Schizosaccharomyces pombe: one gene and its partner. The gene in region 2 interacts genetically with the main gene of each other region. Each region holds a gene or a part of one and is shown on either strand. Other genes may lie near its edges.

The links.
Region 1: of hrs1 (region 2) and bqt2, changing one suppresses a phenotype caused by changing the other (phenotypic suppression), as found in Schizosaccharomyces pombe (one study listed by BioGRID).

What each region holds. Positions count from the first base shown.
Region 1 is NC_003424.3:1,806,494-1,809,964, forward strand, and holds bqt2 (bouquet formation protein Bqt2), read right to left. Parts: upstream 1,289-3,471; coding exon 1,225-1,288; exon of another isoform or gene 1,150-1,224; coding exon 990-1,149; exon of another isoform or gene 910-989; coding exon 777-909; downstream 1-776. Other genes in the region: histone demethylase Jmj2, read right to left, coding at 1-304; SPOM_SPAC1002.07C (N-acetyltransferase Ats1), read right to left, coding at 1,749-1,883, 1,935-2,045, 2,137-2,167, 2,214-2,248, 2,307-2,425, 2,673-2,748. UniProt on the Schizosaccharomyces pombe protein: Involved in chromosome segregation. During meiotic prophase, connects telomeres to the spindle pole body by forming a bridge between the telomere protein rap1 and the spindle pole body protein sad1.
Region 2 is NC_003423.3:3,455,314-3,459,473, reverse strand, and holds hrs1 (histidine--tRNA (His) ligase Hrs1), read right to left. Parts: upstream 2,310-4,160; coding exon 618-2,309; 3' UTR 562-617; downstream 1-561. Other genes in the region: dcd1 (deoxycytidylate deaminase), read left to right, coding at 1-240, 280-332, 370-476; myr1 (N-myristoyltransferase 1), read right to left, coding at 2,674-2,871, 2,915-3,805, 3,869-3,993, 4,064-4,160.

The DNA of each region.
Region 1 (3,471 bases), on a different chromosome or scaffold from region 2:
TCGGTGGATTCCAACCAGCAGGAGGAACGATTTTTATGATACCATATTTTTCACCGATTGGAGCTATCTTATTAATATAACCGATAGAGTCCTGAAATTCCTCTTTATCAGGATAAAAAACGGGAGCAACTGGAAGTCCATGAATGGATTTGGAACGCTGTTTTCTTTGTCCGGTATTTTTTGACATAGAGGATAAGTTATTTCCCCGCGTATTCATCCCATGAGGTGCAGGTTTTAGTTTATCTGTAGCATGAGTGTATTGTACAAAAGATGGGGAAGTTTGATGAAAAGTAGACTTGCTCATGTTTCCTATGCAAATAAGTAGATAAATTAGTCCGAATGGTGAGCGATTCCAGAAAAAAAAAGTTATTATAAAAAGAATTAAAAAATAGAGAATAAAAAAGAAACGAAACGTAAATGAGAAATAATAAATGGAAACAACAGTTTTTAAACTCGGACTTAGATGAAGTAAGTTTTTTATGTTTATGCAATGTATACTTGTTCAATTGTCCATTGAAAAGACGTAAGTGTCTTTATGGGATATAAATAAAGAAATTAGGTAAAATTCGAAAATAATCTTAGGCTAATAGCATAAATAGGCATTAAATTAATATTCGTAACGTATGGTTAAGTGAAGGTTGTGACAACTTCAGTTGACGATTTTGAGAGCTAAAGGAACGATCATTAAATTATAAAGGATAGAAAAAGGAAAGGTATTTTTCACAATTAGCATAGAATTTACAATCGGAACAACGCCATATCAGCACCAAAGCATTTCAAGGTAATTCACCGTTTAGAAAAGAAAGCGTGGATGGCAGAGGCTGTAGATACACTGAACGTATTCTGTGATCAACATATAAAGGTTCCATCACGTTCAAATGAATGACAGGTTCAGAAACGTAACTTTTGCTAATAATGGTGGTTAGTACTTGCCTTGGTAAATGATAAGATAAACTATCAATGCAATATTTAGTAAATTTAATAAATACCTTCTGGAAACAGCTACTTGCTCCGCAATCCACCAAGGAGAACGACATTGAACTGATTTGTAATTTGGCAAGCGGACGTGCTTTCTTAGATGCATTGAAAATGCATAATCAAAATTTTCATAACCTTCTGCTAAAAATTTCGCTTCTCCGTTGTGTAATTCTATCTTTAGTAAGAACAACTGAACCATAAATCATTCGACAACAAACAAGTGCACATCAAACCTTTAAAACTTACGCCATAAAGCAATTAATGCAGAAGGTACGGTTTCATCAAAAAAGGCGCACTTTCCTTGAAACATTGACAGGCAAACTGTTGTAGGTAGTTGGTTTGTTTACAATTGCGCGCGACGCGTTTCGAAAAAGAAACACAATAAAAGATATTCAAGAATACTAACCAATACTTTCTTTCTATTTTTTAATACACAATAAGAAGCCGATTTGATGAATTGAAAGGAAAACGATCAAATTAGTTTTATAGGAATTAACATTAGAACAATATACCAGTTCTAATAATTTACTTTGCAAAAAAAAGGATTCTTTATTTTTTAATTTTAAAAAATGTAAGATGTAAATTGATATCGTATTTTTTGGTAAACGGGAAATAACCTAAAGACATTGAAATGACCGCTTTAAAACGAAACTACAAGATCCAGGATCTTTCAATCATAAAAAATTAATTTTCCTCTTTCCAGTTCAAGGTTTCAAAGGTATAACATATCATGCTTCAATTTTTTAGAGCGTTAAGTATTGGGTATGAGTTTAAAAGTTGCCGGGAAGTTTATCAGCAAGAGCCTTTAGGTTCTCGCCGGTGACTCTCATCATACTCCATCCTCCAACTTTTTGTGCTCCAGCCTTTTCATAGACTTCAATGGCTCTCTGGTTCCAATCAAGGACCTAGGGTATTAGTCAAGGTATAAAAAAAGAAATGGGTTATAAACAACTTACAACCCAGTCAAGACGTCTGCCACCAATTCTAAGTGATTCTCGTGCTAAATAAGACAGTAAGTAGCTTCCATATCCTTTTCCACGGAATTGGGGTCGAACATATAAGTCCTCCTAAGAAATTGAATGGTTAAAATCTTGCTATGAAATCAAAAGTTAATCCTTCAATAAAAAGGTTATGAAGGACAATATGATAAGAACATACTAAATAAATCCCCACTCTGCTAGTCCACGTGCTATTCAACGTCAGCTCATATATTTCAAAACGGAACTTTTCACTACCTAAAATTTAGGAAATATATAGCCATTCCTGCGGGCTGATGGCAATTATAGATTAGTAAAAAAGATCAAGCAAGTTTACTTTTTTTTACGAACCTGATCATTTTCTTCGATGAATACTCCATATGCCACAGGAGTAACCTCGTCAATAAATCCAAATGCAACTTCTAAATTCGGAATTGTCGCTTCCACTTGATCTTCACATTTTTCAAATTCTTCATAAACAAAATGTTAAAACCGGTTTTTAAATAGTAACACAAACTGATCTGATAGCATGCGGACAGAAGTAGAGATCGACCCTGCTGACGAAAACCATATATTCTCAAATCCATATAAAAAGCTTAAGAGTAATCTCCAATTCAATAAGAGAATCAGACCCTGTGAGTCTGGGATACTGGCAAAAGCTCTAGCCTTTTAATAGAATCTACACGACTTCGTCCTCTTGGTCATAACGGCGCTTACCTGCCAATTCTTTAATAAACTGATAAACGGTCGGAAGATCTTCTTTAATGACAGAGCGAATGCGAACTGAACCCATGTTTTGAATTAATTGGTTTACTTGGTGTGCAGTGCTAACAGTAAATAATATGCGTGGCCTAATGGTAGTTTATTGTCTAGCGCACTTTAAACTGATGAGATCTCATCATATTATTTTTGGAATGCCAAATACGGGTAGAAACTAATCTAGTATGTTCCATTTACCTTTTTATGTTTGGGAATGAATAATCCGCTTTTCTACTGAACGATTATTAAATACTACCTTGAAAGCTAAAGCAACTCATAATAATGAAACATTAATTCAGTAAACAATTTAATAAACAGCATGGTATAATAAAGAATATTATAATAGTTTTTCGAAGTTATGGTATTTGTATTAATTAACATCTAAAAAAGTTGAAAGATGTAAACTTCCATTTAAAATAGCTCAGTTAAATCCATATTGCATTTATGCACTTTCCAAAAAAAAAATGATACCTGAGACTATGAGAGACATAAAAGAACGTAAAACAAGCCTGAACGGAAGCTATCCACTTAAATTGAATAAATTAGTAATAGATTAAGCAAGCATAAGTTATTTTAAATATGGTGATTAGAATGAACGCGTGTCTCAACGCAAACAAATCCTTTAATGATGTAGCGAATATGGCACAGGCAAATAAATGAAATACAGTGGCCTCAGAACGCAATGAGTAGAACATGAAGTGGAGAAATGATAAAAAAGAGAGTGGTTTTAAAAAACCAAAATTACTGGATGCAAAGA
Region 2 (4,160 bases):
TTGTATGAAACGTCGCGTCGGTTGCGTACTTGTGCGAGGAAATCGTGTTATTGCGACAGGCTACAATGGAACACCTAGAGGAGCCACTAACTGTAATGAAGGCGGATGTCCACGTTGCAATTCTGCTTCTTCCTGTGGAAAAGAACTTGATACCTGTCTTTGTCTTCATGCCGAAGAAAACGCTCTTTTAGAGGCTGGCCGTGAACGCGTTGGAAACAATGCAATATTATACTGTGATACGTATGTAAATATAGACATAAAGCTACTAACAGTCGAAAGATGTCCCTGTCTTACGTGTTCTGTCAAGATTACTCAGCTTGGGATTAAAGAAGGTATGTTTCAGTTCTTTAATCTTTTACTAATGCTCAGTTGTCTATCATACGTCTTACAACATGGACTCCCATACCGCTTCTCTCCTTCAAGCCGCAGGAGTTCAATTACGACAATATATTCCTCCGGAAAACAGCATTTTCTAAGTTAATAACAGAACTTACTTTTTAGATTACCGCTCTTTTTGATTGCAGAAAATACGATTTTAATATCTTTATTTAATACTTACAATATTGATGAGATAACAATCAAATAATACAATAATTATTATTGAGCTATAGGAATATTTAATCGTATTTAAGTAACTTTTTCAAAACTGATACCATTTCCTCACGTGGCACAAGCTGACCTTCATCGCTATTTTCTTTTAAACCCATTTGTTTAATACGAACAGATCCCTTTGCAAACTCATCTTGACCCAAAATTACAGCAAAAGGTACGTCGAATTTATCGGCGGCGTCAAATTGTTGACGTGGTTTGGGTTTCACTTTGTAAAGAAATTCTGCTTTAATGCCATTTGCCCAAAGGTCTTTACAAACAGACATACGCTCTTTCAAAAAGCCGGTCCATTCTTTTCCACCTCCAAATGCCATAACGAAAACATCAACATCATTTGCACGGATATCCTCATCAGGAATTTTTGATCTAAGAATTGAAAAAATCCTCTCTAAACCAAGGCTAATGCCAACACAAGGGATTTTGGCGTTTTTCTTTGCAGCAAACATTCCAACTAAATTGTCATAACGTCCACCAGCAGCAATCGAACCAACGCCAATAGAGTCATCATTGGAACGATCTGCTTCAGGATCAGCAGATTTTTTCTTTTCCGCCGAACTCTTAATCTTTGGAGCAGAAGCCTCTGTTACTGCTTCGTAAATGATACCAGTATAATAATCGAGACCACGCGCTAGAGACATATCAAATGAAAACCTATCTAACACTCCAAAAGCTTCCAAATAATCAAATAAAAGACGCATGTCGTTAAATGCAGCAACAGCCGAGCTATTGCTTGATAGTAAACTATCGGCTTCAAGCTTATCTAAAAGAGAGCGGTCGCCTTTTAATAACACATACTCCTTAATTTTATCTGCCACCTCCTCTTTAAGTCCTTTTTCAACCACCATTTCACGTCTGACATCTTCCCAAGGGAGTTTATCTAGCTTGTCCACAGCACTGGAAATGGTACGAATTTTGTCATCCGGTACACCACAAACAGTAAAAATGCCATCCAAAATTTTTCGATGATTAAGCTTGATAGTATAATTTCCAACTTCTAATGCATCTAATGCTTCCACTAAAACCTTTAAAGCTTCAGAATCGGGAATCATAGGATCGTAGTTGCCAGCGATATCAAAATCGCATTGATAAAATTCACGCATACGGCCTTTTGTCATAGCTGGCTGATCTCTTCGATAAACCTTTGCAATATGGAATCGCTTAATACTCGTAACTTTGGGATTCATAGCTAACCAACGAGCAAATGGAACAGTCAAGTCGTATCTCAAAGAACAAAGCTCTCCACCTTGATCTTTCAAATCGTAAATTAGCTTGCTGTCTTCTCCATATTTTCCGGAAAGAATTTCTTTCAATTCGAACACTGGCGTATCGAGTGTTACACCACCATGACGCTTGAATATCTCTGTGACAGTTGAAAAAATGTGCTCACGTAAAACAACATCTTTGTCACACCAATCTTTAGTACCCTTCGGAGTTTTCAGTGTAAAAGATGTGTCTTTTTTCTTTCCTGATACTTCCGAACCCCCAAGTTTGAGGTTTTTCAGTTGAAGTAATTTAGCAACTTCTTTATCAATGTCCTCTTTAGAGGCGCCTTGACTTTTCAAAGATCGAACAAGATTTCCTTGTGAAGTTATTCTTTCATTTATATCTACTAGAGAATCAGCCATAGTTCTCAAGAAACGCCAATTTAAGAGGCTAGACGAAAATTTGGTGGTGAATAGGTTTTTGGTAAAAACAAACATGCACTAACTGAAAATGCAAATCTCAGTATTACATCCATTTAAATACATTTTACGGTGATTGAAGGACTAATGAAACCATTTGTCATGTTGATTAAATAACCAAGAAAAAAATATAGAACCTTGGATAATGAAACATTGAAAATTTTTTGGATTTTATGTTATGCAAACCAAGTGGGATAATTTCATTTGAAAATAAAAACTAGTTATTATATATTTTTTATAAATTTAAAAACCTAATATTTGTGAAATGACAAGTTCTATAAGTAAAAATTTAATATCAAAAAACCTTTTAAAATATGGACTTTTTTAAAATAGTAAAAACACTCAAAAAAATCAAAAATAATGTATTTTAATATTTTAGGATTTAAATCATTACAAAACCCATTCCACTAGGCCTCGAATAATCAACACTTTTAGAAGCATCGATTCCTCCAGGAATTTTTGGACAGTTATAATTATAGATGTAATAGTTCAAAAAACCGTCTCCTTCTCCAAATTTTAGGTCCTTCAAGAATAGATTGTTATCCAAAACCGTAACAGCATTGAATACATCAAAGTGGAACTGTTTTGAATTATTAGCAAGTAATAAAACCATATAAACTTACCTTTTTAGCCAATATAAGAGCATCATTAACTATCAATTTACAACGTTCAACGAATGCCAACTGTGATTCAGAAGATAAGTCTTTTGGACAAGAATCAGAGGCATAGTAGTACAAGTATGCAGCTTGAATATCTTTGTATTTTGGGTTTCCTATTACAGTTGAGGGTAAAGAGTAAAACGAAAAAAAATCGGTAATTTTCTTGGACTCTGGATTCTCCACAACGTAACTCCAAACAACAGGGCCACTTGAAACCTTGTCAGTGTACAAAAACCAATGTCGCACTTCCTCTTCCGAAAATAAGTGGGCAAGTTCGAAACGTTCCATGTATTGAGATAACAGCGACTGAACGGCAGGTACATCTTTCAACTCCATCGGACGTAAACCCGGGGTCTGAGTATTTGGAGGTAAATGATATTTTGCAGTCTCCTTTTTCTCCGTTGACCCCAAGGGAAAAGGTGCGAATCCTATATCGTACAGTTTCTTCCAGTTTAAACTACGATGCATATAACGAGACAAACTCACGGGACTGGGTAATAATACACCGGCTGTATAAACAGCTTGCCAAACATTCTCAAGATGACATCTACGTGTGACTTCTTTAATTAATAAAGGAGTAAGGCGCTTGCTTCTAAGTTTTTTATGTATGCACAAGAAGTTCACTTCAGCACATTTCTTAATAATTTTGTCACGAACCCTAATACTTAAAGGAACAGCAGAAATGAAAGCTACCAACTTACGAGAGGACTTTACTCGTACTCCGACGTGCCATTCTTTTACATATCCAGGGGGCATAAGGGCCCACCTGAGAAACTCTGAGATGTATGCAAACCGAAGCATCGCCGTAGCATCCTCGACATAATTCTCAGTTAAGAGTTCATGAACCTCAGATAACTATAGAAATGTCAGCAAGTTTTGCTTCTTAATACGTAGCAGAAAACATCAAACTACACTAACCTCATTGTCGTTTGTTACATCAATAGTTGCCCACTCAAACTCTTTTAGCAAACGATAAGGTTCTCTAGGAACCTGGTTTATATCGGTATTGGGATCTATTGGGCCTTCTTGAGTACATTCATCATCTATTATGGTAAGCATTAATATGTATAAAAGAATCTCAGAGTATATTTCAACAAACCAGGATAGGCATACCAAACTTAGGAACTGGCTGGGTTTTCCAAAATTTGAAATCTTCGTAAGTCTTTGGGGGAGCTGCAGCTTCTTCTTTTTCTATCAAAGATCTCAACGC